Linked DNA regions of Caenorhabditis elegans. The gene in region 1 interacts genetically with each later gene. Each region holds a gene or a part of one and is shown on either strand. Other genes may lie near its edges. The genes, in order: lin-17 and cam-1.

Region 1 (16,168 bases):
AAAAAGAGGATAAGGGAAAGACGTTGAAGGGTGCAGCATTCAAACCTCCGAAAGTTAAACTTCAGAAATAATTATTGATCTCTTTGAATTTTTCTATTTATTCTCATTCATTATATTCCCATCATTATTGTGTAAAATCTCAACAAGTTTTTGTAAAAAATTATTTTATTCGAATTTTTTTTGTAAAAAAACCATTAAAAACCTCCAAAAAATTACGAAAACTGGAAATTTTGAAGTTTTAATTTTTGTTTAAATTTAATTTCCGGATATTTTCAATTTTTTCCAAATTTATTTGAAAATTCAAAAAAAAACGATAAACCAAATTTAAAAGTAAAAAGTAAAACGTATTCCCATCATTAATACAAGAGTGGAATTGCCGTTCGGCAAATTTTTATCGGGAAATTGCCAGTATGCCGATTTGCCGAAAACTTCAGTTCCGGCAATTGGCCGATTTGCGGGAAATATTCATTTTCGGCAATTTTTCGATTTGCCAAAAATTTAAATTCGTGCAATTTGCCGGTTTGCCGGAAATATCAATTCGGGCAAATTGCCAATTTGCCGGAAATTTTGAATTCCGGCAAATTGCCGATTTGCCGGAAAAAAATCGTTTGCCGCCCACCTCTGCATTATTGTGTAAAATCTCAACAAGTTTTTTGTGAAAAATTTTTTATTATAGTTTCCTTGAAGAAAAAAAATTTCGGAAAAAGTAGAAAAAACCCGTAAATCAAAAGTAAAGAGAGAAGAAATGATGGTTGAATGCATTAAAAACAAACAAAAAATAATATAAAGATCATCGGTTTTGTCATGGGAAATTGGGATGAAATGGGCGCGGAAAAATCTCGCTCAGACGACCTTACTGGGTCTCCATGAATTCTGAGGATTCGTCGCCATTTGCATGTATACCGGTGGTTGTGGTGGCGGAGCAGTTGGTGGCTCGAGCAATGGACGTGTTGATGGCTCGATTGGGTTCTGAAAAATTTGCGAAATTTTTAAGTGAAAATTTTGGATTTTGCGCGTCAAGTTTGGTTCATTACGGAAGCAAAAAAATTCTGAGAATGCGTATTGCACAACATATCTGACGCGCAAAATATCTCGAAGCGAAAACTACAGTAAATCTTTAAATGACAACTGTAGCGCTTAAATGGACACAAGGGCTACAGTAATCATTTAAAGAATTACTGTAGTTTTCGCTTCGAGATATTTTGCGCGTCAAATGTGTTGTGCAATACGCATTCTCAGAATTTTGTATTTCTGTAATAATTGCTGTGTTTTTTTGGTTGCTTTCAAAAAGAAAAGCTTTTTTAAAAGGAATTTCTCAATTTAAAATTTTCTTTTTTTTGCGAAAAATACTCACCTTAGATTGTTTTTTGGTACTTGTGAATTACATGCCCTCATTTTCAAATTAAATTAAATTGTCATTAATTTCTCCATATACATTTTTCATTTTTCCTCTTTAGTCTTAGAAAATGTTTTTTTTCCTAACAAGGGAACCCCGTACTTGATCCGTGGAAAGGACAAAGAAAAAGTATACCAATCGAAAGTTCATGTTACTGGCTACTCGAAAACAAAATAAAATTCTGCCAGTTTTGCCTATAAATCTGAAATTTTTGCGTCTGAAAATTGGTCTTTGCGCCTCATGATTTTCAATACTTTCTCATTGTCTTTCGTTGAGAACTATATTTTCACGTGTAAAAAAGGCTACACAAAAGTTTTACAACAGCGAACACCGATTGAATGGCCGAGTGGTTAATGCTATTTTTTATAAAACATCTTGTCTTTGAAGCTATGCAGCTCCGTTGAAAAAAATCTGACAAAAAAGTGATCAACTAAAAAGTTGTAGATTATAACTTCATCTAGAATTTTTTAGTGAAAAACTTTCACCAAAAAAATTTGGTTGTCGAGATATAGACGTTATACTTTCTAGAATATTCTAAAAAGTTGTAGCTCTTTTTCAAAAGTTTCCAGCTCGACAACCAATTTTTTTTGGTAAAAGTGTTCATCTGAAAAGTTTTAGATGAAGTCATAATCTACAACTTTTTAGTTGATCACTTTTTTGTGAGATTTTTTTCAACGGAGCTGCATAGCTTCAAAGACAAGATGTTTTATAAAAAATAGCATTAACCACTCGGCCATCCAATCGGTGTTCGCTGTTGTAAAACTTTTGTGTAGCCTTTTTTACACGTGAGAATATAGTTTTCAACGAAAGACAGTGAGAAAGTATTGAAAATCAAGAGGCGCAAAGACCAATTTTCAGACGCAAAAATTTCAGATTTATAGGCAAAACTGGCAGAATTTTATTTTGTTTTCGAGTAGCCAGTAACATGAACTTTCGATTGGTATACTTTTTCTTTGTCCTTTCCACGGATCAAGTGCGGGGTTCCCTTGTAAGCCTAGAAATACAAATTGTGGTTCACGTTTTTATTTTTCATGGCTTAAAAATTACCATTAAAATGAGGGCATGTAATACACAAGTACCGTTTTTTTTTTAAATTTTGTAAAACAATTTTAGCAATTCCTCCAAAAAAAAATGCATAAAAAACTATTTAAAAACGATTTTTTCGGGCTTAAATTCTCAATTTCAGAATTTTTTGTTGGTTTTGCGCGTCAAGTTGGTGTAATTGCGTCCGATGCGTTCTATTTTACGAGCAAAATTTAGAATTATCCGCTTTTTTTGCGAAAAATATTCAATTTATCCTGTATTCTCATTTTGTAGCAAAATAATACAAAATTCTGAGAATGTATATTACAACATATTTGACGCGCAAAATATGTCATAGCGAAAACTACAGTAATTCTTTAATTGACTACTGTAGCGCTTGTGTCGATTTACGGGATCTCAAATGAATTGTGACATTTTTTCGGTATTGTGTTTACTTTAAAAAAATTATCCATTAATAAATGATTTCCGTAAATCGACACAAGCACTACCGTAGTAAATTAAAGAATTACTGTAGTTTTCGCTTCGAGATATTTTGCGCGTCAAATGTGCTGTGCAATACGTATTCTCAGAATTTAATGTTACCGTAATAATCAGGAAATGTTTTTTTCAAACTGTATTGTAACTGTAACTGTACAAATTTTTGTTTCTCTTCCTAACAAAAAGTCAGTCAAGCAATTTTCAATAGAGCACATTTCCTTACTCACTTTAACCGGCGCCGACGAGCACATTCCACAGAAGATGAAGTTCTTCCAGGCGTGGACGGTCTTCGCCGACAACACCCACATCAGACACGAGAATCCTGTGGCGAGACTGGAAATTACGGCGGTCATGTAAATTTCAGCCTGCGGCGGTGTCGGCCGATGACATGCACCTGACTGTTGTTTACAGTCAATTGTCATTCGGGTCCATTGGGTGAGAATCATGAATTTATAGCATTGACAGACAAGTTCGATGACGTTGGGAAGGATGAATAAAGCACAGAAGAAGCCCATTTTCACCATTAGTTTCTCCAATTTCGATGTGTCTGTGCCCTGAAAATCGATAAATTTTATTGATTTTTTTACGGTGTGATCTACGAAAAATGCGGATTTTTTTTTCAGCGTTGATTTTTGAGCTCGTCTCGGATGAGTAAGTCTATTTTTGAAATTTTTTTTAATTTTTCAGATTTTTTCCAAGCTTTTTCAAGACTTTATAAAAATATTTTAGATTAGAAAAATTAGAAAAAATTACTGAAAATAGGTAATTTCTATATTTTCTAACATGGTGCATCGATGTTAGCGCACAAAAATCGTTCAAAAATGAGTGGCCTAGAAAAAGAGATAAAAAATTCGGCCATTTAATAAAACTCACCCTTGTTCTGAAACTAATTCTCTCTCTGCACATGCTCGCAAATCCTCCAACAATAAAACATGTTCCAATAACAATGCAAATAGTTCGGGGAACAATCACAAACCAGAGCAACGCAATCGAATTCAAATTCCCAACGGAGCAAAGAGCGGTGAGCTCACTCGCGTCGACTTTGTTGAAAATGAGCACAATAATCGTGGCCAGCGACGACAATCCCCAGGCAACAAAATGCACATAACTACTGCATGCTTCGATACCTTCTGGCACCCATTTCCTTCCACCGCTCAAATACCTACAATATTCCCATGGTGGGATTAACTGACATAATAAGTGGCTTACAGTGTAAATGAGAACATTAACCACCAAAGGGCAGCCGCTGTACTGAAGAAGTAGTTAAGAAGGAATGAGGCAAGACAATATGAATTGTCAAATGTTCCGATTGACAGGTATGACCGCCCGTTTCCAAGTGCGTGGCAGGATCGGATCGGAGCATCGATGAAGAGTGGCGTGAGGTATGGGAGGGAGGAGATGAAGATGCACAGGGATAGGTAGAAGACGCATCTGGAAATTTTTTGGAATTTTAGATTCTCCAGGATTTGCAGTATGCTCTAATTTGTTCAAAAAGTTAAAAGAAAAAGCTGATTAAAATTTGTTTTTTAAAATCATTTTGAGAATCAGGAGCTTCCAAGATATAAAAACAAAAAATACAGGTAATTGATTTTTCTACGTGGCCTAGAAAAAGCAAAAACTCGGCCAACGATTTTTGTCTGATTTTTCGCGTAATTTCTTTCTGAAACTTGCCTATAATGGTTTTGGAAGGAGTTTCTATCAGGAGTGGGCGGCAGTTGCCGTTCGGCAAAAAATTCTTTGCCGTTTTGCCGAATTGACGGAAATTTCCAATTCCGGCAAATTAGCCGAAAATTTCCAATTCCGGCAAATTAGCCGAAAATTTCCAATTCCGGCAAATTTGCCGGTTTGCCGATTCTCCAAAAATTTTCAACTCCGGCAATTTGCCAATTTTCCATTTGCCGGAAATTTTTAGATGGATTTTTTATAAAACCGAAATACTTAAAACTGTGCCGTTTTGAAAAAAATTTTCCCGTTTTCTATATTTTAGATATTTTCATAGAATTTGCTTACTTTTCAAAATAGATGTAGGAACATTGATAGGATGCCTTTTTTTTAAAAATTTTACCGATTAAAATTGAATTTAAAAGAAAAAAAATCTGAAACTTCAAAAAGTACAAAATCACAACTTGCCAAAAATTTTCAGCAGAACGGCAAAACTGAAATTTGCCTGTTTGCCGACTTACCGGAAATATAAATTCCGGCAATTTACCTTTTTGCTGAGGATTTGCTAGAGTCCAAATCTATTTGCTGGTGAAACATGGTGCATCGAGAGCTGTTTTTTTTTCAAAAATTCTGGTCTATATTTGACCGGCAAAGCAAAATTTTGTGAAACACCATTAGAGAATTAGTTCTGAGCCTTAAAAAATATGAAATTTTGATCTTAAAAATTGGATTTTCATTAAAATTTGTTCATTTTTCGTTAAATCTTCTAAAAGTGCATTTTCGTCAAAATGTCGCAATGCACCATGTTTAGTTTGCCAATTTTTGATTTTGTTTTTTTAAAATTACAATATATTTTACTGTAAAATAAAATATTTCGCGGTAAGACCCTATTTCCCATTTCCATTTTCAGGAAAAATATACGATTTTTGGTTCCCAATTGCAACCCTCTTTTCCCCAAGTGACTCATTTTCATCTCGTCGTCATTACCCACTTATTGGCTTCTTCTCTCATTGTATCTTTCTTTCATCTTTTTTCGTCCACCAGAGGACCCCCATTTTTATAATAACAAACCTCTCCGGGAAACGGAATCGCTTTCGGTCGATGGCGAACGTCAAGAAGGAGAAAAGAGCAACGCCGGCGTTTGCGGCGGCAAACCAAATTGACCATGAACGTACCATACGCTGTAATTAATAGTAATGATCGCTTCATATGAGGGGTGGAATTTGAATTTCCCACTATTTTTCAATTTGCTCGTCAAATCTGATGCATTAGGTCCGTATAATACACCTGAATTGACGCGCAAAAAAAGTTTCTAAATTTTTGCCGCATATTCAATAGGTCAAAAATGAGCTAAACAAATTAAAAATTTTTTTTCCGAAAATCAAAAATTTCTTCCTTCATAAAATATGTCTAATAGACCACGCCCCAAAAATGGGCGGGGCTTATTTTGCTAACTTTTTGGAAATCGATTTTTAAAACCAAATCTCGTGGTGTCAGAGAGTCCCATTTCGGCTTGATCTACGTTGATCTACAAGAAATGCGGGAAAAGAGACGCAGAGTTCTCAACTGATTTCGTATGGTTAATTACGTGTTGACGTCATATTTTTTTGGGCAAAAAATTCCCGCATTTTTTGTAGATCAAATAGTAATGGACAGCCTGACACCACGTGCCAAATGTCAAAAAACTTTTACAGACCACACCCCGAAAATGGGGGGCGGAGCTTATTTTTATCGATTTTTTTGGACACCGAACCTTAAAAACCTAATATTATTAATAATAGGAGTTTTATAGACCACGCCCCCAAAATGGGTGGCGCTTGTTTTCCCCCTCTTTCTGGAATTCAAGCTATTTTCAAAAACCGAATTCTGGAAGGAAAAAAAAAACCATGAAATGGGCGGAGCTTATTTTTCTGGATTTTTCCGGAAGCCGAATTTAAAATCTCATAAAAAGGCGGGGGTGTATAGAACACGCCCACAAAATGGTTTTTTTTCCTGAAATTTGAGCATATTTTAAAATTTTTATTCTGGAAAAAACCATGAAATGGGCGGGGCTTTTATTCTGCAAAATTGGAATGCAATGCAAACCCGCTCTATTGACAAAAATTGCCTCTTAATTCTAGCAAATTCGGTGAATGGTTCAATGCATCAAATTTGACGCGCAAGTTTGCTACAGTAGGCCTTGTAGGCAGGCAGGCACCAGGCATCCGAACTCACCTTATTATCCGTACTAAACATCACATTCGACTGGCACGCGAATGCACAATGCGACTTGGGATCGTGTGGATCCACATCGACAAGGTCACTGGGGCACCCGGTTGGCTTGGAGGATGATGAGCTCGAGCCTTTTGTAGGCAGCCGGGGAGCCGAAAATCCTCCAGTTATCTCGTCTTCCGTAGGCTTCATGCAAAGCTCCGGTGGATCTGGGAATTGTGCACAATTCAGCGGCTCCGGCCATCCAATCCCGAATTCTTCCAATATCGAGAAGCAATCCGCTTTCACCTGCAATAAAATTTTTTAGTGTGTTAATCTTAAGGGTAAACAATACCCGCCCTACAAGACCCCCCATCTGCCAGATGTTTACAATAAGACAGTCAACTTTTGCTGCTGCTGCTGCTCCTATTATGATTGATGTCCACCTGTCCAGGGGCACGTAATGAGCCGTGGAGCAGAGCACCTAATTGGGGGAAAAGCACACAGCTGCGAGTAACAGGTGTTGCTGCTTTGGAAATTCGAGAATAAGAAATTGCAAAAAAAGTGGAGTTAATTGGCTTGAAACATGGTGCATCGAGCGGTTTTTGCGAAAAAAAGGAAATTTTAAGACATTACGGTAACATTATGACAGGCTCTGGTTACAATCTGCTAAAAATGACGTAAAAATCAGAAAATTAAGCGTGAGGTCTCTTAGAGGAATGTTAGATTTGGGGGATGCGAAAACGCGGAGGATTTGCCTAGTTTAAGCCTAGGAAGTAAGTTTTCTGTTATTGTAATATGATAATTTGTAGAATAATGGCAAAATTTCACAAAATCCATTTAAACCTTCTCAAAAAAAATTAGCCCTCTCCTATTCTAATTTTCGCGTTTCCACATCCCCCGTTTCAAATTACCCCTCAAGGGATTTTCTCGGGTTTTAGACGATTTTTTCCTTTTTCATGTAACTTTTGACAAGACAAAACAGTTTTTAAAAAATTGCCCGAAAAAACAGAGACTTATGGTTTGTGTAGTCCTCTCGGACAAGCGAACTTTCTTTTTTGTCAGTTTTAGCTATTACTTTTCTAGATTTTTGGCTCGAACTTGGATTTTATAGAACTGTTTAAAATTATTTTGCCAATTTCTAAAAACTAAATTTTTAAAGAAAATATGAAAAAATATTAAAAACTTTTTGAAAATTTTTTCGCAAAATTAAATAATTGAGAAAAATTTTTTCATTTCGGAAAGTTTTGGATTTTCTGTTAAACCCTAAAAAGCTACTTGTCCGAAAGTTGACCCATCCCAATATTTTTCCACTTTTACTACGTGGCCGCCAAATAAAAACTTCGGCCACTTTCTTCCTCACTTGCTCGCAAACGGATTTGCAGCTTGTCACGGCCTGTGGCATTCCAATCGGGCACATTGGAGCAAAAACGGAGCAAATGAAGAAGTGAATGTGTGGATGGCATTTTGTTTTCATCAACGGCTTGAAGTGCTCCGTGTGGGTTTGAAGCTGAAAGTACGAATTTTTTCTTAGGATTTCCGGTCCAAACCCTTAAAAATGTTTTCTCCGGCACCCTTGTATTGTATAGAAATCCCTTCCACTGGGTGGGCTCCGGGGCTCTTTTGTTGTGGTCCCAAAATGCAATTAGTATGGGGGATCTTTTCCACAACCCATTTCCCTCCCCGTTTCCCCCCTTCGAAATGCAAATGCGTATCTGATGAAAAGGGGAAGAGCACAGAAAGAAGAAGAAGAAGAACGGGAGGTCGTAAAAAGTGCGGCGGAGCAAAATTAGAAACATGTTTTAGACGCTGGTGCCCCCTTTGAGGTTCCGCCGCCGCCGTCACCTCGCTTATCAGTTTGTTATCGAAAAACGTTTAGCCGGTGTGGTCATAAAAATGCAGTTGTATGTAAAACCAATATTTGGATAGAGAGTGGGTTTGGATTTGAACAAAAAACAAAAAATTTTAGTAAAAAACCACCGTGCCGGAGGAGTGGACCCCAACCCACTGTGTGCTTTTCATCCCAAAAATTTGTTAACCGGGTCTCGAAACAAAATAAGAGTGTGCGCCTTTAATTTTGGACTAAAATTTTAGCCTCAAAATTGTTTTTTTTTTCAAAAAATTTTGGACTAGAAATTGGACTAAATATGTTGACCTAAAGTTTTGATCTAAAATTTTGGACAAAAATTTTGGATTAAAACTTTTGTCTAAGAGTTTGGAATAAAAATATAGACTAAAAATGTGGCCTAAAACCTAATTTTTAGCTTAAAAATTGGACTAAATGTTGAACCTAAAATTTGGGTCTAAAATGTTTGGCAAAAAATTTGTCCTAAAAAATTGGCCAAAAATTTTTGACTAAAAATGTTGGCCTAAAGTTTTGATCTAACATTTTGGACTAAAACTTTTGAAAGTTTTGAATAAAATATGGACTAAAAATGTGGCCAAAAACCTACAATTTTTTACTTAAAAATTTGAATAAATTTTGGCCTAAAACTTTGGACTCAAATTTGACAAAAATTTTCGGACCAAGATTGGGACGGAAAATGTTGACCTACAAATGCGGCCTAGAACCTACAATTTTTGTCTAAAAATTTGGCCTAAAAATATGGCCTAAAAATATTGCGTAAAACTTGTCTGAAAATTTGGGCTCAAAGTTTGGCCTGAATTTTCAGACCAAATTCTGGACAAAAAATGTTGGCCTAAAGTTTTAGACTAAAATTTGGGCCTAGAATGTCCTAAAAAATATGTCCTAAAATTTTGACACCTGACTCCTTCTGCCATGATAAATTATGCAGCAATTAAAATTTTTTTGAAATAGGCCAAAATCCCCATTTCCAATTTCCCAAAAAAAAAAAACGGAGTTAATCTTTCCCGCGGCACCATATATTTTTTGACCGTACCTCTCCCCCTATTCATTTCATCCCCCTTTTGTCTCATTTATTTTTCGCGTATTTTTGTCCATGTTGATGAGATGGGCGATGGCCAGAGAGCGTGTGCACCGGCCAGTGCGCAGACTTTTTGGCCGAGACCAGGGGCTCTTTGAAGTTGCCGCTAGCGGGCGGCGGCGGCGACCAGCGTCAGTCGGTTCCCTCTTTTCTGTGTGTGACTGGGAATGGGACACCAATTTGAAAATTTAACTTTTCCCTCATTCTCCATTCCTCTATGCAAATCACCCGATTCAGGAATTGATAGAATATGGAAATTATTGGTGAAGGGGGCTTACCGTGTGTTGATCGTTGTGTAGAATGGTATTCGGGAAATATGTGTAGTTGTAGGGCAGGTCTTTGCATAGCTCAATGTCGATCGGAATGCATTTCCCTTTCACCGCCTGAAAAGTTGAAAAATTGGTGTTTAATCTAGGAAAGTGGCACGACTAGATGCGCCAGATTTGACGGACAAATTCACTAAATGACCATAGTGCATTAAAACATGGTGCATCAACTTTTTAGGATATGGGTGACGCACCGGGTGCACCATATTTGACGCGCAAGTTTTGTAAACTGTAAACTTAATAACAGAGATCAAGGTGCATCGACTTTTCAAGTGACTCACCCGGTGCACCATATTTGACGCGCAAGTTTAGGACAGAAGTCGTAGGCTTATGGTGAATCGAAAATTTGAAAACATGGTGCAACGGATGGGCAAAGCATCAAATACATCCGATTTGACGCGCAAGTTTAGTGCAATTTTTTAAAGGCATGGTGCATCGATTTTTCAGATTTCCAATAAGTCTACCTGATCGAAAATTGATCCTGTGGCGAGTGGAATAAATAGTAGAATGATGCCCAAAGAATGCATCATTTTGGAGAAGGAGCCAGTCTCTCGAGGAGCCTTCAAAAAGTTACGGAATAATTAGAGTCAATTTTGAGGAGCGAAAACGAGAAAATACTAAAGTTGAGAGGAGCGGAGAACAGAAGAAAAACAGGAGAAGAGAAATGGAAAGTGGTCCATGGGAAAATTGAAATTTTGGGAAAAATATCTATAGTTTGGTTTTAAAAAAATTTCAAAGCTCTAGAAAAATCATACCAAACCCAGAAAAAAAATTAGAGGCTCCTGGTGAAGCAGCACCCGTCTGGTTAGCATATAGAGAGAGTAATGGAGAAAGAAGAATAGAAGGAAGACGTCTGCACAAACACACACGGTGTGTGCTGCGTCTCGTGCTCTCTAGTTGGCTGATTTAGGCTCCGCCCCCTATCAGTGGTCACTATTTGGGTTTGATGTGCTTTTATAAAAAGTTGTTAGTAGATTACCTAATACAAAACTTTCGTGATGAGACCCAAAATCCGTGGGACTTATGAACTTCGTGGTGGGACCTAGAAATTTTGAAAGAAACTTTTTTTCGGGAAGAAATAGGCATCTTTTCAAATCCCAATGCGACAAAAGGGGCACGAAAAAACACCGAAAATCAAAATGTTTCTGTACTTACCGATGGAGCCCATTTGCATAGTAAAGCTCAATTGCATCATCTTCTTCGATGGAATACATTTTTGTATTTTTCTCCGATGAAGCGCATTTGCACCATTTTTCAACGAAGCGCGTTTGCATAGTTATTTCTCAGTGGAGCGCGTTTACCTAACTTAGGCCTAAATTGAATATTTTAAATTAAAAAAAAATATTTTGACTCAAATTACAGTGAAAATTGTTGCAAAAATCTGGAGAAAAAACTCGGCCACTAAATATTTTTCTAGGCCACGTCCAATACAGGCCAGGCTCCCAGTTAATGAATTTTCAAAAAATTTGAATGGGGATTGAGTATCTAAAAAGACATGCATATCACTTTTTAGATAAGCCTAGAAATTCGATGAATTTGAATAATGTTTTTGTGGCCTTGAAAATGGAAAACTCGGCCATCAGGGGAGTTTGTAGATTTCTCCAGTTTTCAACAGAATAGAAAAGTCTGAAAATCCGGAAAAAACGAAAAAAAAAGAAAAATACTAAATTCAAATTCAAATTCAAAAAGGCCTAAAATTTCAAAAAGATGGAATTCAGGCGGCTCAAAATCGAGACAATATTTCAACGTCAAATTAGTGGGCGAGCCTAAGGGATCTCAAACAGAAAGATCTCCGTTTCTTTCTTAATGTCTTGATTTATTAGGTTCTTCGTGGATAGAAGGGGAGATGGAGAAAAGACGCACACCACCCGATCGATGATGTCGGAGGAGGAGGGTGGGCTGTAGAATTTAAGAGATTTATGACATAGAGACCCGTGTCATAGGCAATTGTATGTGTATACGACACATGTATCAGAAGAAGAAGAAGGGGCAATTGATACGAACACACACATCTGGACAATGATGAACGGAGAATGAAGAAGAGAGATGGAGACGGAGGAGGTTGAGGTGGAGAAGTTTTTGAAAAGGTAAAAATGCAAATAAGGACTAATGGGAGGATTGGAGACGAGATCGTCAATGGGCTGGAAAATAAGTTTAGGCCTCAGAAGATTTACTAAAAAAATTCCCAAATTTTACAACTTTTTGTTCCTCAAACAGAAATTTTCCGCTGATTCCGAAAATCTACTTTTTGTGTCTCTCACTCTAAAGCTCACTGAGTTACGGGGGTTTTAGTCCAGCGACTGAAAGATGAGAGAGCGCAGAGAAAGCAGACACTCTCGCGCGTCTGCGACCTCTCACTCTCTCACACGCCTGTAAAAACCACTGTAACTTAATTAGTTTTTTAGCTAGAGAGATGAAAAGCATATTTTTGGAATTAGCGGAAAAATTCGCTTTGAGGGTATATAATGTCGAAATTATTGGGAGTTTTGCAGCGAAGTGTGTCTATCTTAAAGTATTTTTTAGTCGACTTGAACATAAAATAGAAAGAAAGGAAAGGTTCACAGAGGCAAATAGGGACTAATGGGAGTGTTGAAGACGGGATCGTCAATGGGCTGGAAAAAAGTTTAGAGACACCACTTTTTGAATGGGGATTGGATGTGGAGGTTATGCAAAGACTGAGGTAAATTTTACAAAAAATATTCAAATTCTAAAAAGTTGTAATAATCTAAACGAAAATGTTCCGCTGATTCTGAAAATATAATTTTTATAGCGCCTTTTATTTAAAAAAAAAACTGTGGTTGAAGCGGTATTTTAAGAATTGTAAGAAAACTTCAAAATCACAAACATCCAGAGCAAATTTTTCCGCTGATTCCAAAAATTCCCTTTTCATATTCACAGCTATAACAGTAACTGAGTTGCAGGGTTTTTTTTGCAGGCGTCGGGTTAGAGTGAGAGGTCCCAGGCGCGCTCTCTTTTCTCGCAGTGTAAAAATCACCGTAAATCTGCGAGTATTGAAATGAGATTTTTAAAAGTTTTATTTTCGAAATCAGAAGAAAATTCTAGATTAGATAAATGTATTTTCTGGTGTCTAGAATTTTTTGTTTGAAAGAAAACTTTTTTAAAAATTAACAAGGTTTTTTAACCAAAATGTTGGAAACCTTTTATATGAGTAGTAAAAATTGTAAGATATAAAATCAAGCTAGAAAAAAACCTGCCAAATTTTTTTGGTCTCAGAGCGTTTACGAAAAAAAAGAAAGAAAAACCAATAAATAGGCGAGGTCTGGTTTTTAAGGACCGAAATTTAAAATTTAAAAATAACATTTTAACTGGTTTGGACAATGTTACGTTTGAAGCAAGTTCTTAAAAAATGAGCCGGCCAGAATTTTTGCACAATAATTTCACCTCACTCCTAAATCGACTGACTCAACAAATTCCATTTACAAAAAAACTCCGATCAACAATAGAAAGAACATCTTCTCCCCAAAAAGGGCGAACAGAAAAGTGATGACTAGTACGACTAGTGCAAATAGCCCCCCAAACAAAAAAAAAGTTCTTGACTGGACACATGGGAGTGGAGGTTGACGTTGACGACATCATATATGGGAAAAGGTGATAAAAAGTGGTAGGGGCGCGCGAAAAAATGAACATTTGAAAAAAAGTAGAGAGAGGGATGGTGAGGGAGTTGAGTATTGCTGCAAACCCCCATAAATTAGAGCGGTCGGTGGAGACCAAAGGGGTGGAATTTCGAGATAAAGAGAATAAATCAAGAGGCGATTAGGCAGGGAGAGGAGCTCTGTTCTGCGATCTAGGAAAACGCCAAAAAAAAACCAGGATAGGGGCGGAGTCTATTATCGATTTTTTTTCAAATTTACTTTAAATTTTCTTTGATTTGGACTGTTTGGACTGTCACAGAAACTTGCTAGGTGGCCTAGAAAAAAAATTAGAAACTAGGCCACCGATTTATTTTTGATCCCATATAAAAAAATTCTGGTATGCTAATAATTTTATGGAAGTCTTTATTTTTTTTCTGCTGACTCAATTTTTCCAGCTTGAACAAAAATTTCAAAAATTCAGTCTTTTTCTAGATTATTTTAGGACTTAATTAGAAAGCACTAAATTCAAACTTTTGCGCGAAAAATTCAGGCGGTTAATTCAAATTTTCTGAGAAAATAGCATTAGGGGAAATTTCAATTTTCTGTGAAAAATGTTTTGGCGGGAAATTCAAAAATTTAAAGAAACATTTTTTGGCGGGAAATTCAAATTTGTCGAGAAAACATTGATGGCGGAAAATTCAATTTTCTTATAAAAAATTTTGAGAAAAATTTTTATGCGGGAAATTTGAATTTTTCTGGGAAAAAATTATTGGCTGGAAATTCAAATATTCCGAGAAAATATTGATGGCGGAAAATTCAATTTTCTGATGAACATTTTTGGCGAATTTCGAATTTTTCGAATTTTTGAGAAAACATTTTTTGCGAGAAATTCAAATTTCTTTGGGTGTAATCCTAATAGATACGCCAATACTTATAGAAAATATACGGTAGGTCACTTTTTTAAGAGAACCAGAAGCTATGTAGAACCCGGGTGGAGCAGAGTACATCGGAGCATCGTTCGAAATCGAAATTTCAAAAGTCACTAGGTTATGGTCAAACTGAAGTCAGAGAGGGGTTAACTGGGGTCCGACCTAACCTCTTACTGCTGCTGCTGCTGCTGGTGGTGTCGATGCTGATCGGCTTCTCAGATAGCATTCCCATTGCAGAGAGTCCGAACGACAGACGGGGTCAGAGAGCGTACGAATCGCTGAGTGTGTCAGAGGGTCCGAAAGCAATAAAAATGTGTGTGTATGTATGGCTATAAATCGTGGCGAATGGCGCGCGTTAGGACAGAGGGAGAGATGGAGACAAGGCTTGCACCACCAGCTACACCATGGGAGACCAGAGGGAGAAAGGGAGAGAAATCTTTTTCTCTGGTTTTTGAATAGATGATCATGGGTTATTAACTTTTAAAAGTGTTTTTTTCTAGCAAATTATTGGGATTTATTATGAGTTGTTAAATTAGAATATGATATTCCAGTTCGATGCACCATGTTTCATTCAGCTTTATCTCAGCTCAATTTAAAGTTGCAAATAAACACTCAACTGCAAAACTGTAGAAAATACAATAAAAAGTGTTTTGTTAGTTAACAACATTTTGATAAATTCATTTAGAACAAAGTTATGAGCCTATAAAGTTGAATGAGGTGTTCCAGGACGATGCACCATGTTTCAATCGTCACTATTAGGCTTTATCTCAGCTCAACTTAGAATTAATAATAAAATTTCAACCAAAAAACTATAGAAGATTAGATAACACATATTTTGTCAGTTGAACAATTTTTGATAAAACTAAGTTTATTTGAGTTATGGTCTAGTGAAGTTGAATGAGGTGTATTCAGCTTTATCAGATCTAACAAGGGAAGTATTTCAACTTAATTCCGGACATCTGAACATAACCTATGCCATTCGGACCTATGCCTTCTGAATAGGCCCCTACGAAAAAAATTTAGCGGCAGAGGAGCACTTTGAACAGGAAAAAAGTCCCACTGAAAATTTTTCAGTGCATTTTTTCACAATTCTCGAGGTTTCTAAATTGGCTCCAAATGTGAATTTTTGCTAATTTTTTATGCTTTCTAGGATGTTCAGGGGTCGGCAAACATTCAGAATTTTTTAAATAATTTTTTATAATTTAAAAAAAAACTCAATTTTTTTTGAATCCATGAGAATTTTTTCGAAAATTAAAAAAAATTCCAAAAAACGAATCTGAATGATTTCCGGCTCCTGAACACCCTAGAAATCATCAAAAATCTGCAAACATTCACATTTGGAGCCAATTTACGGACTGCTAAAGTTGGGAAAAAATGCACTGAAAAATTTTCAGAGCGACTTGTTTCAAGTGCTCAAGCTCAAGTCAAAAGAGTAAAAGTAGGTGATAGAGTGAGAGAAAGAAAAGAAACATAGAAATCATTCTACTACCATTTATTTAAATAGTTAATAGAGAAATACAATATGACTAAACGAGTTTTTCTTCTTCTTCCAGTTTACTTCTGCTTCTCCTCCATTTCAATTAGCTTCTTCACTCCGTCGTACATT
Region 2 (16,018 bases), on another chromosome or scaffold:
AGAATATGCACGACCATCCCAAAATTGGTTTCTGGGGAAGACTTGCAAGAGAATGTGAACAATTGAGATCCGAAGAATTATCATAAGTTTCAAGTTTTATACGTTTATTTTGGGCCTATTTTTAGTCTTATTAAATTCTATTGTGGGCATACACGCGGGCCTACTCCGTATTTGGTTTTCGAAAAAAATTAGCGCAAATAAAAGTTTTTCTAACATGAAACTATTATTTCAAAACTAAATATTCTAGTAAAACCCTAATTAAACTAATAAATCAATAAAATGGCAGAAAATGATAAATATCATTAGAGAGACTGATGTTTCTTTTGATAATAATCATAAATAACCACTAATTTGCTCTCGAACGGGGTCTATCATCGGGTGGTAGGTAAGATAAGAATAGATAATATGATTGAAAGAGACGCCGGAAGATCATAGAGCAGTCAGAAGGACGGGCTCACAAGGTTTTTCGGGAGTTTGTCGGCACAAACGGTTGTGATAAAGAATTTTTCAATTAACTCTATAATTCATTTTTCCATTATTTCATGTGTTTTTTTCATTTTGCAGATTTGTCGTCGAAACTATACATAACAATCTGTAAATAACAATGATGAGGGAAAATGTGAGAAAGGACCGTAATGGATGGGTGGTTGACGGAGAATCGAATCGAGATAGGAGAGGTCTGTTTGTGAGAGGGAAGCAGTGAGAAGACAGACCGAATGACAGATGTGCACTATATGGGCGGTTCAATATCTATTTCAAGAGCTCTTTTGACATGGTATTTTGAAGTGGTGCTGGATAAAACGTCTACAAAAAAACTGGTTGAAAATCTTGTTTCAGTCGAAAAATAATATTTTCAAATCTATTAACAAGGAAAGGAAGTCAGTGGAAATAATTTTTTTTAACTGCAATCGGGCCCTTTGTAAAAAATTGTAAAATTTTGTAAAAAGGCTCAATTCGAAGAAATATGTAGCTTTTTGCATGCCCGGATACAAAAAAATAGTTTTGGAATTTTTTCAAAAAAAAAAAATTTTTGACCAAAAATTTGGTGTCCAATGGATCGAAAAAATTTCAGATTTTTTTCAAAAAAATAAAAATTTCCAAAAAGCTCCCACATTGTTTGTTAGACCCTAAAAACCACCAAAAACAATTTCTAATCGCTCAGAACCACTTTTAAGGCCATTTCCTTGACCTAGAATTCAGCGAAAAAATGCACTGGAACACTTTCAGATGGCGATTTCAGGGGTTCAGAGTTGAGTTCCGCCGCTGAAATTTTTGTGGTGATCTAGTCTAAACATAAGCTTTCAAATGACATACGTCTCAATTTAAAGTCCGATACTAGATTGACTTCCTTTCCTTGTAAGTGAAATTGTTTCATGAAATTGAAAATGACGTTTTGGCAATACAACGAATTTACCCTACATATCAGTCCACTAAACTTTAACAACATATATCTTGCTACATTTCACAACTATCAAAAAATATCACAATACCAATATGCAAAAAAGGAAATAACAAATGTTTCCACATATGATAATTTTTGTTAAAGCAAAATACAAGAAAGTTATGAGCTACCAAATTAGAGCAATGCGGTGCAACCCTGATAGAGAAACATAGTAAAAAATGTTTCCTAGATGCACTTGAGGAAACCTCAAGTGCATTTTTAAAAAATATATCCAACAAGTAATCTTTTTCAAAACTATTTGGCGGTTTGCGTTTTTTTAGGCATTAAAACCCGAACCGTTTCCCTCCAAAAGTCGCAAATCATCTTCAGGTGTCGAAAATTGAAAAATGAGATAAAGAAGATACCAGTAACTGAAAAAAAGAAGAAGAAAACAGGAATACTAGTAAGAACAATGTGTGGTATTCGGTGTGGTACCACACATAGAGAAGGAGAGGGAAAAGACGAGGAGAACGATCCATCACTGGAGCTGACAACTATCGAGGGTCTATCGATGAGGTTGAGGTTTTGGCAAAAGAAGAAGAAAAAGGATGGACAATTGGGGATGATATGAAACATTAATAAAATTATTTGAAAACCCTTTTAAATTTAGTAAGCATATAATTTAACTTCTAGACAAAAATTGGAAGACAATTTTTATAACTTCAAAACTGGCAACATTCGATTTGAAAAATTGCAAGCGATAAAATTTCATTGATAGCAAAATCGGCTTAATTGGATGTAATTTTTCTTTGCTTTTTTTTACTTTTAAATTTGCTTGGTAACTCTTGGAGCATTTACTTTGGAGCACTAAGAAAGTTTGAAAGTGACCCAACAGGTATCCTTGCACTAGTCCAGAAGGGTCAGCTGTTTCAATTGGAGGTCTAGTTTATTGGGTTTTCTATGCTCACTTTTAATACGCAAAAACGAACAACAAGTGGGGGTTTGGATACACTGGAAACTTTTTGGTTGTCAAAAAAAAATAGAAAGTTGTAAAATTTCCAATTTAAAAAATCAGTTTTAAGTCACACATTTCAGCATAACGGAAAAAAAACAGAAAGTGGGTATTATATACTTTTCTTCTGAATAATTCTGTGCAAATCGCAGAAATTTTAGTTTTGAATGGTATAAAATCATTCAAAAATAATTCCAGGCAATTTTTGTATATCCACCGGCAATGCACGTGCACAATAAAATTTTTAACTTTCTGCTATTGGTGAAAAAAATCGCACTCTTTCAATTGTTTATTTCAGTCTTACCTGAACTGTGGTGAGTCCTGTTTACGGTAGATTGAATATAACAATTTTTAGCAAAATGCGATCGGTTTTTTAAAAAAATTTTCAGTGCCCTCCTATATCTAAAATGCTCTAGGATAATAGGTTTCGCAATATCTCCAGCAAAGTGACCAAAAAATAACCGACTCATTTCGAAATACTCTCACTTTTGAGATGGCAAAATGCTGCTAGTACTACTTCTACTAGGGAGCCCGAGACCAAAGACAATTTCAATTTGGTGGGGTGCAACAAAATGGGCACCCCTAGCACAGCTGATGTGAGCGGAAAGGAAAAAGGCATCGGTTGATGATTCAAAGAGAAACGGAAAAAGGAAAGAAAAGGCGATGCGCTACCAATTGGTACAAAGAGACGGAATGAAAGAGAAATGAAATTGACTATACAAGTCTTAAAGAGCTCCATTTTATGTCATGATGTAACTGTGCTTGGAACATTCTGACATTTTTCTAGAACTACATCCCAGCTCGCAACATATTCCCATTCATCTAAAAAGTTCCAACTAACCCTGAGCACACTTGTCGTGTTAACCGAGGCTGCTGGATTTGAGACAATGCATTGATAGTATCCACTGTCTAATACGTCCAATTGTGTAATGACTAGTCGAGATGAATTCTCCTTATCACGAATTTTCACTCGTTTCGTCTTTTCCACTGGACCATTGTTTTTGAGCCATCTAAAATCAAAAAAAATTGAGTTTCGGAAGTTTGAAGCGTTTTTAGTCCGGCTAAAAATTTAGCAAAAGGTATCTTTATCGAATTTTGAGCCTTGCAAAAAAAAATATAAATTTTAAGCTACAATGGATTTTTGTAAAGTTTTGTAACTTGGAGGAAGTACAAAATTTTTCAAGGTTTTTTCAAGCTTGGAATGGTTCTGCAAGAAGTTTTTACAACCAATAGGTGGAGTTATATTTCAAAACAAATATATAACAAATATTCTTAAGTTGCAAACTTTAATTTTGAAACCTCCAAACAAAAAAATTTATTGAACCTATTTAATAATTTTTTAAATGTTTTGTATGACGGTTGTTGATAGTTTTGCAATTATTGGAAAATTCAAAATTTTTAATTTTCAAAATTTAAGATTTAACAAATTTTCAAAAAAAAACTTACATAAATTTGAGTGGTGGGGTTCCAAGTGCTTCGCACTTAAACCGAACCTCGTCTCCCGAACTTTTGGTGGCATTTCGAAGTTGAGAAGTGAGACGGATGTACGGTCGTTGACCAGTTGATGTACCCTCCATTCTGAGACAAAATGAAAGTTAACGAAAGAAATCTAGAATTATGCAAATTTAGAACTAAAATATAACATATTCCCAAAGCAATAAATTCACCGAAAAACAATTTAATGGAAGGATGTTTGTCTTCAAGGAAGAGCCAGTTGTCGGGAATAACGAGGAGGCAATGGAGAGAAAATGACATATGGTCTTGGGGTATTATGCAAATTGAGAAGGCGAGATAATAAGGGAAAATGGTGAGAATTAATGGAATAATTGTTATGTTTTCATTTGTAAATTGGCTTAAAGTTGAGTGGACTGGAATGATTAAGTCAGAAAAAATGTTGAGAGTAGATAATTTTTTAACCAAGATGAATACTAGATTTGAAAATTTAAAAAAACCTATGTCTATAAGAGAAATTAATTTGAAATTCGGTTATTATCAAACAAAAACCGCAACAAATATATCATAACGTTGTATTAAGTTTATCAGTTTATAAGTTTTGATAAGAAAAAGAAAATTAACTATTAGGGGGTCTACAAAGAAATTATAGTTCGTCATTTTTTTTCCAAAAAGGGTAAAATTTCTAAAAAAGTACTGTTCGATGAGCTCAATTTGAAAAAAAAAGATAATGCTCAACTAGAGCTGTTGTTTTATACAAACATTGCATTTCTCGAACTTTCAGTTCGGAAAAATAAAAGATTAAAAAAATTCAACTAATGAACTGCAAAACTCCGATATTCGTAAAATTTTACCAAAAAACGGCTAACGAAAGACGACACCAAAAGGGGTCATAAATTGCATGAAGCTGTCGGTCAGTCAATGTAGGAACTAGTAGCTCATTATTCACACAAGTGGGATGTCGCATAGCCAGCACAACTCGGTCTCTTCCTAGAGTCCCCGAAAATGAAGTGAAATTGGACAGGCGATTAGAGAGTACATAAATTTACGAGATTACAGAGAAACTTGCAGAGAATAGTTGTGCTCTCAGAGAGATGGAGATGACACTTTTCTTTTCAAAGTGAAATTGTCCGAAATAGGAAGAAAGAGAGGAGAACTTTGTATTTCTATTCATATTAAAATAAGTGGAGACTTGAAAAGAATTGGAGTACTAGCGCTAGTAGTCGTTCAAGTTTTGCTCTAAACTTTAGAATTTTTTAGAAGGATGATGGTTGGCATTGGAAAACCCAAATCTTTAGAGAAACTTAACAATAAATAAAATTACTTAAACAATTTCTTGACCAAAGAGAAAAATGCAAAGAAATAAACAAAAAATTAAGAAGCGGTCGAGAAAACTCAATTTTAAAGATTTGGTAGATCAAGTCTGAACAAAAGATCAAATATCCAAAAAAAATATATGAATGGTGGAGGGCCAAGAAAACCTCGCCAAAAATTATGATAACCACCCTGGTTTTTAGAAAATGCCTATCTAGACTTCAAGTTACATTCTCCGTTTTCTTCTCTGAATTAAAAGTGGAGCAATTATATATTTATTTCTAAGAAACCTTAAAAACTCGCATTCCCAGCAAGTTTCAATAGAATTTTTCAGTGGAAACTTTAAGATCAAATCCAAAAAAACATTAAATTTCACAACAAAGTATAGCATCTCAAAAAAAAAACTCAAAATCTTGTCCCATGTCCCAGCTTCCGAAAAATGACAGATTGTTCAAACAAGCGAAGATTGAGCAGATTTTTGCACTTATCGACAACGACGACACGGAGAAAACTGCTCAAGAGCCCTAGAATAATCGGATCAAGTGTGTATGGTCCCGGGGTGATGGAAAAGGGTACGCTTTTTGTATGCTTATGTTCTCAGTGAATGGTGATGAAGAGGGGATAAACAGATGTGTGGAGATTATTGCTTAGAAATTTTGGTTCTTAAAAGGTTTGAATGAAACATTTTAGAGGGTAATCAAAGTTAGAACAAATTGATCAAGAAAAGGTAAAGTACATAAAAAACATTGATAGACGAGCATCATTGCAACGGAGCAAAATAAAAAGATTTCTCTATTTTTAAATTTGAATCTAGCATCAACCTACAAACTATTGTATGTTTGGAATTATTTGTAAACATGAACAAATTATTGGTAGTAATGCTACAAATTTAATTTCCAAGACTCGTGCAGGAAGAAGAGTACAAGCTAATTAGGTCTCTCTCCATCACTTCTAGTGAAAATAAATGAGAAATGAGTCGGATGGATTGGGAGGGAGGAGAAGCAATGAAAAGAGCATCAGTCAAAACTAATCGAACATTTGCTCCTTCTCCACCATTGGCTCCTCATTCTCGCTTCTTCTTCTACCACCAAAGGGACCCTGTGCTCACTCACTAAATCACGAAAGTTGTCCGTGTGTGTGCGAGACTTGGGGGCGCGTAAATAGTTGAAATAATGATGAAGATTGATGGAGTTGCAATGAACTAAAGAACATGGGGAAATTCGAAGAGTCACAGAGAGATGGAGAATGGGCTCATGGTGCCAAATTTGAGAGTGTGTATGTGACTTGTATTTCGAATTTTCAAATTTGGAATCAAGCAATGTAGTTTTTTGGTGTTGAAATTTTTTGGGCAACTATAATAGAAACATAAGAAAAATTACACTAAGAAGTTTCTGAAAATAATCTTTCTAGGGAGTATAAGTTTAAAAAATTGACTTCCAAGTTGTCCAAACAAATCACAAATTCCTATAAAAGATCATCACAGTCTCTACAGAGAGCCAGTAAAAGCCGACTACCGACAAGGATAAACATGATGATGAGAACGGAATTGGAAAGTGGATCACAAACATTGAAACAGTGTGTTAGGCACAATTTACTACAGAAGAAGAGACCGAGATAGATACAAACACTTTTCAACCCAATGTTTTGATCTTACAATCACTTTCGGTTGTTGGGTGTACTTGCAATTGGTGGAATTGTTAATATGAAAATTTAAAAAATCACTCAATTTTTCTGTGCCTGAAGAAAGTTGACTGTGAATTGACTAACTGCAGTTTGCCACCCATTGAAAGAAATGGAAATAGTTCAGTCTGAGCAAAATAATTTCGAAATCAAAAATGCTCTATCAGGTATAACCTTGCCTCAAAACAAAATTTCATCTAAACCTGAACACGAGACTCACTAGTCAGTAATAATAGCCCACCTAAATGACTATTATTCGCATCGAAATGCGAGTTCCATTAGCCTATTCAGGAGTAATAGGATATTGATCCAATTGCAAATATACTGACAGAGCCTGGGAAACAAGTATAGACAAAAGGTGTGAAGGGAGTTTTGGAATACGGGAAGAAGATGGAATGGTAATAGATAGATGACGTAAAAGATGTGGAACGCATGCTCGGCTGTCAGGTCAAATTAATGGAATCGGTGATAAGAGAAGAAGAAAAATAAGAGATTTGATAACGAATATAAAAAAGTAAGTTTTGACAAATTTTTCTACATGTGAGGCTGAAGATATAAAAATAATTTAGAATTTAGTTAAAAGTTGTGGAAACAAATCTTGCGCACTTAAAGAATAGTTCTCCAAATGGCAAAATATGGAGGTTTGTTAAAAACCGTAAGATTGTTTAAAACTATCTCCAGGATTTTAGTACACTAAACCTAGAAACCAAAATAAAAATTCAAGATAAATTCAGCTAATTCAAGTTTAGGAATATTTCATTTCCGGGGAGGAGAAGTGCGGATTGACTGAACGATATTTAGGATTAAGCAGACTAAATCAAGCTAGTATTAAAATGCCTATTATAGATTAGTAATAAGACCTTAATATTGGAATCAAACTGTTTTCTAATCACTAAAAACCGTTCAAAAATGATTCGAAAGTTATAAATTAATTAGAAAAAGAAACTAATAAATAGTGATAAATTAACTTCTTTTTTACGATGTGTCATCATTACAAGGCCAATAAATTATAAATCGAGTAGTCCATCCGTCGGATGAATGTGCGGAGCGCGTTTGGCGGGGAGGGCCCATTCGACAGAATCCCCGAGAAATAGTATACTGATTCAATGAGACGCAGAGACACAGGGGATGACTGACAGTAGGAAAGAAGGCAGAGGTCAGTCCGTTTTGTCAGATATTAGGGAAAGAGAGAGAGAGAGGAGATGGTCACGGTTAGGGTGGGGGTGGTCCGTTGTATGGGTGAAAGAGGAGGAAGACGTCCGGGTGTTGGTGGATGTATATAGGTGTCAAGTGGATTATGCAATATGTAGAACAGAAGAGGTGGGAGAATGGTCATCCATTATATGGGCATGTCACTCCGTTTGTTTGAGGGAAATGAGCTTGTGTCAGTTAACCCAATTTCCGCATCCGGAATGACATTTTGATGCTCTATAGTGGTACAAAATATGGATGAAAAAATAATAATTGAAATTTCCAAAAGAATGGGTGCTAACGGAAAATTTTGGATCGTGATGTTATATCTAATTACCAAAATTCATCAAAAATGTGAGATATCGGCATTTGGCACCAAAATATTACACAACTTTTCTCTTAAAAATACAAAACTGGCGAAAAAATTTGTAACACTTGACTGAGACCATATCCAAGTATTGCTCGAAAAATGGAAAAAATTGAGCGAGTTTCAGCTTCTGCCCACGTTTTGCCTAAAAGCACTATATAAAGTTTGTCAATTTTTTTAACAAGTTAAAATAACTTAGGCAAAAATCGAGCCAAAAATTATTTTCATAACGATTTGATTTTTGATATTGACAAAGTATTAGCTACTTAAAATTCACAAAAATTTGAAATAAATCACTTTCGAAGTTGACCCCTTTAGCAATTAATTTAACTCAAAATCTAATAAAAATTGCGCTAAAACTAATCGCAAGTTGCAAACTTGTCAAAAAGATGAAAAATGGGAAGTCGACACGACGGAAGTTTTCAAGATTTTGAATGAAGATAATAAGTTGGGTGGAGGGAGAATTGCAGAAAAATTTCCCATTGAACATTATTTTTATAATCAAGATTCTAACGGTGAAGATCACATACTGCATAATACTCATCGGGCGAGCTTGATGAATGTGGGAACGGATGGCGGTAACCATATGGTTTTATTCAGAAATCAAGAAGTAATTGGGTTTATTTTAAATACATTTTTTGAAAATCTATATGAACTGATCTATATGAACATATATGAAAATCTATATGAACTGATTAAATGCTTTTAAAGTTTATATTTTATACGCCAAGAGGTGGACGCGCATTTTAGAGGTCGTTAAAAATTTTTGTAGTCAGCAAACTGTACATCTATAGACTCACTAGATTTAAGCATTTTGTGTTTTTGAGGCAATCTAATAAACTACTTGTATTTGACCCATATTCATTTAATCTGATAGTAAATAACCGAACCGTTTGTTGCCAAAATAGGCAGCTACAGTTTCTACCACCCGTATCTAATTACTATAATTATCGTATCAAAAGACAGTAATACTCACGATGCATTTCCGTAGTGAAGACCCTCATCGTCGGCTGGTTCTATCACGAGATCGTCGTCTTCTGGTCGGGGAGACATTTCTGGAATATTCAAGATTTAGGGTATAAAAATTAAAAAATGGAACGAGATGGTAATATACAGAGTTCAAAAATTTATTCGAATCGAGAATTTCAGCACCAGTAACATAAAAAAAGGTAATTCAAATATTACTTTAAAAAAACAGAAATTCATAAAGTTCAGTGAAGCAAAAGTTGAATTGAAGTATAAAGCTTAAGCCGGCTAAAAAAAAAGTTGAGAAATGGCAGGTGAGATTTCAGAAATCGCAGAATTTATCATGAGAATTTGAGAGGAAATTTAAGAAAAAGTATAGAATTTCAGTTTTCTTAAGTCATGAATTCGACAACTTTTCTCTCTTCTAATTCTGAATTCATTTCCAGAAGAGACGCAGGTCTTTTTCATTAGATGACAACTTTCAGGACCACCAATGAAACTTTTTTTCTCAAATCGAAATGAATTGAGGATGAAGTACAAAAAGAGACGGGAAAAAAGTCATTTTCATATTAGTAGTACACATTTTGATGCGCTTTTCCACTCATTTTGCATGTAAAATAAATGTGATGGATGACTGAGAAATGAGCAGGAGCACGAAGAGTTGTGAAGCAATGAGTTAGAAGAAAGAGTTGGTGATGAAAAATGGAAGAAAATTGAATGAAAAAGAGATTTAGAGAAGAAAAGATGAGCATTCTTTCATGCAATTTTAGTAATACACGGGTTTTCACACCTGTCTAATAAGGCTTATAAAGCAATTTGGAAAATAATTGAGTTTCCTGACACAGCTGGATATACACTAGATTGTCACTTATTTTAAAAGTAAGAAAGTGGAATTATGACGAAAGTTTGTCAAAAATTTAGGTGTTTCACCCATCAAAAAACTCAACTGTAAAATTTTTAAAATGGTGTTCTTAAAATGTTTAATTGCATGATTTTATTTCCAAATATTTTTTCTAATATTTCACTTTGTCATTTTAATACTAGAAACCAAATCCCAATTTATACTTGAAAATCAAGGTCCAAAACAAACTCCGGAAATAACGTGAGAAAACCAAATGATATGCTTCCTGTTGATGTTCTGAATGGAATTTCAAACGGGAATTCTGGGAGAGTCCCATTCGAAGAAGAACAGCTAAATTTCAGAGAAAACATTTATATATTGCACAAAATATGAGATCATGGATCTTCTAATTAAATTATTGAAAAATTGTCACATGTCCAGAAAGTCCAATGAACGTTCGTAAATTCATGGGCAGGTTTCCAAACCTTTCGACTATGTGAACAAATATTTTCAGGTCGATTAAAAAACTTTCAGAACGTGTAAATGATTACAATAATTTTATTAGAAATGATACGGTAGATATAAACAAATTGGCCAAAATGTATGTTCCTAAAACATGTGTGATCTGCAGTAGATATTTCGAAACCTTCAGCATGAGCTAATTTTGTATATGTTTCTCAAAATCCTAGATACACTGGAGCATTCATCCCTGAGAGCGTAAATCGGATAAAAAGAGAAACGCAAAATGATTATTATAGAATTTGAAAGTAAGTGCATGCTCCTGCTCGTGCTGCTTCAGAATTGTGTTCACCGAATGTAGAAGAGAGAAATTTCAAGAAGCGGGTCCTTGAGTGTGAAAATTTGTTTATGCTGCTGTTGGAAGCAGAGAAGAGGATTAGGCGTTGAGCACAAGGAGCTATGAGAGAAATAGACGATTATAATCAAAATGGACAACAAGTAGCCGTAGGAGAAGAAAATTGGAAATTGAGTTGAGTTGGTACGGAATTCTGTTGGTGGGAATTGTTTTTGAATAGGCATGCTGGAAATGTTGTAGTACTAAAAATATTCCCAAAAAACTAAAGTTTAGTCGCATTTCAATCACTCAGAAGCTTCTATGCTAAATAAAAATCTATGTGTGTCAAATTTTCAATACAATCTAAAAATTTATAGTATGGTACAGTTATCAAAAGAAAGTTTTGATAGGAGTCTATTAGATGTGAAAGTCCTAATAATCAAAATACGGGCAGATCGGGTTTTGAGTTGTCTTCACCGTTATGCTGGAACTTTCTTAAACTTTAATTTCCTATTTTGCAAAACAACTTGGAACAAAACTCTAGAGAAAATGAAGAAAATTAGCATATGCTCATATAGTTGGAACAAGAGAAATCTGATTAGCTAGGACCGCTTGTTGTACTTGATTCCAATGTGCCAAAAAGATGGCACATCTGGAGGGATACCTCTAATTAGAAATATTCTTTCTTCCTTCTTCCTCTTTAGACGTCAACAACGACAACAATGGGTGGATGAACCAAGAGAAGAAAAATAGGAAAATGGTGATTTGAGCCAACAGAAGGGTGTGAAGAGCTCTGGCACCCATAGGTACGAAGGGTATGAATGGGACCATTGAAATGTGAAGGATAAACAAGAAGTTTTGAAGAATTCGTAATCGTTCTCTCCGGAAGTTTGTCTATTCAAAAATGAGAACAAGTTGAAATGAAAATAGAGTGAGAGACGTAGAATAAGGTGTTCAAAAGATCGGATTAAGCAATGGGGGATTGCTAAAGGGCGGGAGATTTTGGAGAAGGAAACATTCAAAAAGTTTTGAATTATATTCAAAATTGACACGAAATGATTGAATAGTTTGAACATATTTAACATATTCAAGGCGACAGCTCAAAGAAAATTCAAATTTTTTAAGGAGGTCTGGACTATCTCTATAGGTACTGTAGATTTCATGGGTTACCATCGGAAAAAATGAATTCATGTTCAAAGTTTATTTTTCCTAATTACTACGTTAGCAAATGCTTTAACTAAATTAAGGCTTTCAAATCTAGAGGGCGAGCATGCAAAACTTTGAAAGTTTTCACAAGCCAGAAAGCTAAGCTGAAAGATTCGTCTTAAATTCGAAACGGTACAAATTCTAACTCGAAATTTCTACAAATAATTGGAGAACACAAGAGCATAGATGATCTTCTTCTTCTTCTTCTCGAATATCAATTTCGGGAGAAGTTGAAGTGCAAGCACCTTCTTCCATTCTCAAAGACTCTCAGGTGTCTCCTCATTGTGTTCTAACCGAGTCTAACACAACAACAACAGAGGAGCTCAGGCTCCCGTGCTCAAACAAGGCAGGAAGTATGGCACACCGAACCTCTCTCTATTCTCTTGTTCCTTTCACCAATCTCTCTCGTTTCCTAATTACGGTATTACGTTTCGGTGAGTATTGAGAGACAGAGATAGGCAAGTGCAGTGGAGCGAGAAGCGAAAACTTGAAAGAAAAGGCGGGGATCATAATAGGGACAATGGTTCAAAAGAGAAGAGCTATTCAATGAACAAGTAGTCAAAAGGATTTGTTGAAATGCTCCAAGAAGAGGAGGCAAATTATGAATGGGGTAACACGAAGGTTTGTCGAGCTCAACAGAGAGTAATTATACTTGAGCAGAAGCCTAACACGTCCTAATGTACTAAAAGCTTAGATGTCGGGAACCCTTTTTGACGTTTTTGATGAACACGAAGAAGAACAATGGAACGGTTAAATGAATGGGCAAGAATGAGAAAAGATGTACAAGGCACTTCATTTTCTATAATTACAAGAAGCTGGCTGAACGGTCAGCTGTGACATTCGGAAATATTTGGATACAAAAGAAGGGAAAGTTTTGACATGAGCATACTCGTTGCTCAACCTTTGCAATACAAAAAAGAAAGTGCATGAGTGGGGAGCCTATTTTAGACCTCAACGATCAGACGCAGGTCCTACTCTTGGCATTAATCTACTAAATCTTTGGCATTTTCTGAAACAGGTAAAATTTTTTGAGCAAAGCATTAGGCAAGTTGAAGCCAAATTTTCAGTATATCAAAAATTTGCAGTTAACATGTGTGGATAAAAAAAAGGGTTGTTAGGGGTTCTAAAAATTTATTTTTCCTAGAAATATTCGACCTTCAAATAGCAAATCTCTCTTATCACGGTCATTAGGGAAGCATAACCAAAACATATCTCATGTTGTCGTTCCGTTCTCGCAAGAACTCTACAAAAAACGAATAGGAGCGAGAATTTCAAAGTTGCAAAGTCCCCTAATTCTCCAATTCCTATAGAGACTGGAAAATTGACTATACGCAGACACAATCGACAGGTTTTGGAAACTAATTTGAGTTGTCAGATGTGAATGGAATAGGAAGAGAGTGAGAAGGGTCATGTTGAAAGAATTTTTGGAAAAAGGAAGGATAATCGGGATTTGATTTCGGACAAGCTTTTCAAATAATTTGAATGCTTGGTGACGGATTCTGGGAATTAATAACTTTTGAAGTTTGGCAAATAGTAGCTAGCTAAGTAAGAACTTTAAAAAATAGGACTTTTTATCAACGTTTTAATCGAACTTTTATTCGTTAAATTTTCTAAAATCTAACTTTTGCTTAATTCTGAATTACACAATTGGGTTTCTAGATATGAGCTTCAAGAAAACTATACTCAGAATACACATAATTCATGTCCAAATAAATCATACTAAAAGCTCATCCAGGTGAGCGCAATAAAATTAAAAAGCTTTTGTGCAATAAACGAAACTCAGACATCTAGCAAACGAGAGAAAGAGAGCGGGAAAGTGTGTTCAAAACGTCTCGAATTTCCGGACGGATAACCGCCGACGATGTCTCGAAACGAAATTCAATATGTCGTGGAGAAGAAAGTGCGTGTACTTGGGAAGAATGACGGAGGATATGCGGAGATTGTTTTAAAAGTTTTAAAGCTGCAAGAAATTGACACCTCATCTGAAACATCATTCGTTAAATGATCAGAAAACTGTGTGGTGGTAATTGGATACATATCAGAGTGGAAAGGGGGTGTGTTTTGATCATGAAAACCAAAGAAACATTGAATTTTGAAATTTGCAAACTGTATTTAAAACATAACTTTGGTGATGTTTTTTTTTTTCAAAAAATTAGGCCTAGTTTTTTGTGTACAATATTATTTTTAATGAATGGAACAACTTCCAAATCTAGACTAGAAATAGTGTTTTTAAGAATTCTATTTGAGAGCAATTTTCATATTTTTAAAGCTAGACATCCCGATTAAAAATTAATGACAAGTTATTCTAGAATTAAAAATATTTTCTTTAATTATTAACGACAAAGTCAAGGAGCAAATTTTGAGCTTTACCATTTTCATTAGATACATCCTCTTTAAAATGTTTTTGAAGACGATAATTGATTGAATTTTTCTCGGGAATGGTTCTATCACTTTCTTAACAAGTTGATAAAAAAAAGTTTTTTTCTAATTTCCCGTATCTTTTACCGTATCTCGTTATACCTAGTTCTAGATATGTTTTTAATTCATTACAGCTCAATAATTAAAGTGAGACCTCTGTTCAATTTTGAGACGCGGTAGGTATATTTGTACTTTACATAAAATGAACTCAAACACTGGGGGAAAAATTCGTAATTTTGAAATTCCATATGACGAATTTATATGGAGAATTTATACTTTTGAAACTCAAAATCAAATATTCTGTCTCTCTCTCATATCCCATCTCACACTCTTCTTCCATCCGAGTACATCAAAAAAGTTTTGAGGGGCGGAGATAAAAAGTAAATGATGGGCGGCTTAAGAGTTGCTTCTCTGGACATGCTTCATGGTGTCCGATTGAGAGATCATTCAGATTTGAGAGAAATAGAGAAGATTGTCAGATGATGTGATTGACATGGGGCAGCAGTGGAAGGGTGTCTTGTGAAAACCCGCAAAACTTGAGAACAGATTGACAATAAGGTTTGATAAATGACCAGGAACGTCTAGTACGAATCGGTTTTTTTTGGAATGAGCAATTTACAGTTGAAATGATTTTTGATGCATTTTCTTTCCGAAATATTAAAGATCCTCCATTTCAAAATTAGGAATTGGAAAGAAAAAGTGTTGCATAAGTGTTAAAATTTTGCAGAATGATCTTCACAAACCATATGTTAAACATGGAACGGGAAAATGTTTGGGGGCTCTCGGAGCAAGTAGTCATCATCCACTTGACATTGTTCTCTTGGATTGACACACTTCACACTCAATGATAGGTGAGTGTGGGAAGAGTAGAATAGAGATGGTTTTAGGGTGGAAGAAATGGTTTTTCGGAATTTTTACTCAAAAAAATTATGCTATCAATCTGGCAGCGTATTTTCCCAGTAAGTAGCGCAAACAATTTTTGCAATTAATAATTTAATAGTACTGTATTTTTTGCTCGTTTATTATATGAGACTCCTAAAACAATTGGCGTTTTCTAATACAATACGAGAATACGTTGCTGAGATAAAATGTAAGATCAAAATTAGATCAAGAAAACTGAAATGATATATTTATACTACCGTATATTTTCTATTAGTATTGCACATATAAGTTGTTATAACTACTTAGATTTCAAAGATTATATTTCGGCTCATTTAGGAGATAAAAAAAACAAAGTTCATTCTTTAAAAAATTCAGAAAATAGGCGGTAGGCGGTTAGGTTCGCCTGAACACGTACCTGCCTACTTGGCAAGCCCCAGAGAAAACGATAAAAATACGTGAGTTTGTGATAAAACATAATATCACTTTGGAATGTTTCACTGGCGGATTCGGAAGGA

Evidence for each region.
Region 2: of lin-17 (region 1) and cam-1, changing one enhances a phenotype caused by changing the other (phenotypic enhancement), as found in Caenorhabditis elegans (one study listed by BioGRID).

The regions. Positions count from the first base shown.
Region 1 is NC_003279.8:2,702,031-2,718,198, reverse strand, and holds lin-17 (Frizzled-4), read right to left. Parts: upstream 10,601-16,168; 5' UTR 10,571-10,600; coding exon 10,505-10,570; intron 10,098-10,504; coding exon 9,993-10,097; intron 8,281-9,992; exon of another isoform or gene 8,280-8,280; coding exon 8,133-8,279; intron 7,079-8,132; coding exon 6,794-7,078; intron 5,761-6,793; coding exon 5,651-5,760; intron 4,349-5,650; coding exon 4,127-4,348; intron 4,080-4,126; coding exon 3,791-4,079; intron 3,472-3,790; coding exon 3,145-3,471; coding exon of another isoform or gene 3,141-3,144; intron 970-3,140; coding exon 844-969; 3' UTR 657-843; downstream 1-656. Other genes in the region: dnj-30 (J domain-containing protein), read left to right, coding at 1-71; F32B5.1 (arginine kinase), read right to left, coding at 16,117-16,168.
Region 2 is NC_003280.10:9,300,852-9,316,869, forward strand, and holds the start of cam-1 (Tyrosine-protein kinase receptor cam-1), read right to left. Parts: upstream 9,454-16,018; 5' UTR 9,451-9,453; coding exon 9,374-9,450; intron 4,003-9,373; exon of another isoform or gene 3,972-4,002; coding exon 3,840-3,971; intron 3,404-3,839; coding exon 3,235-3,403; intron 1-3,234.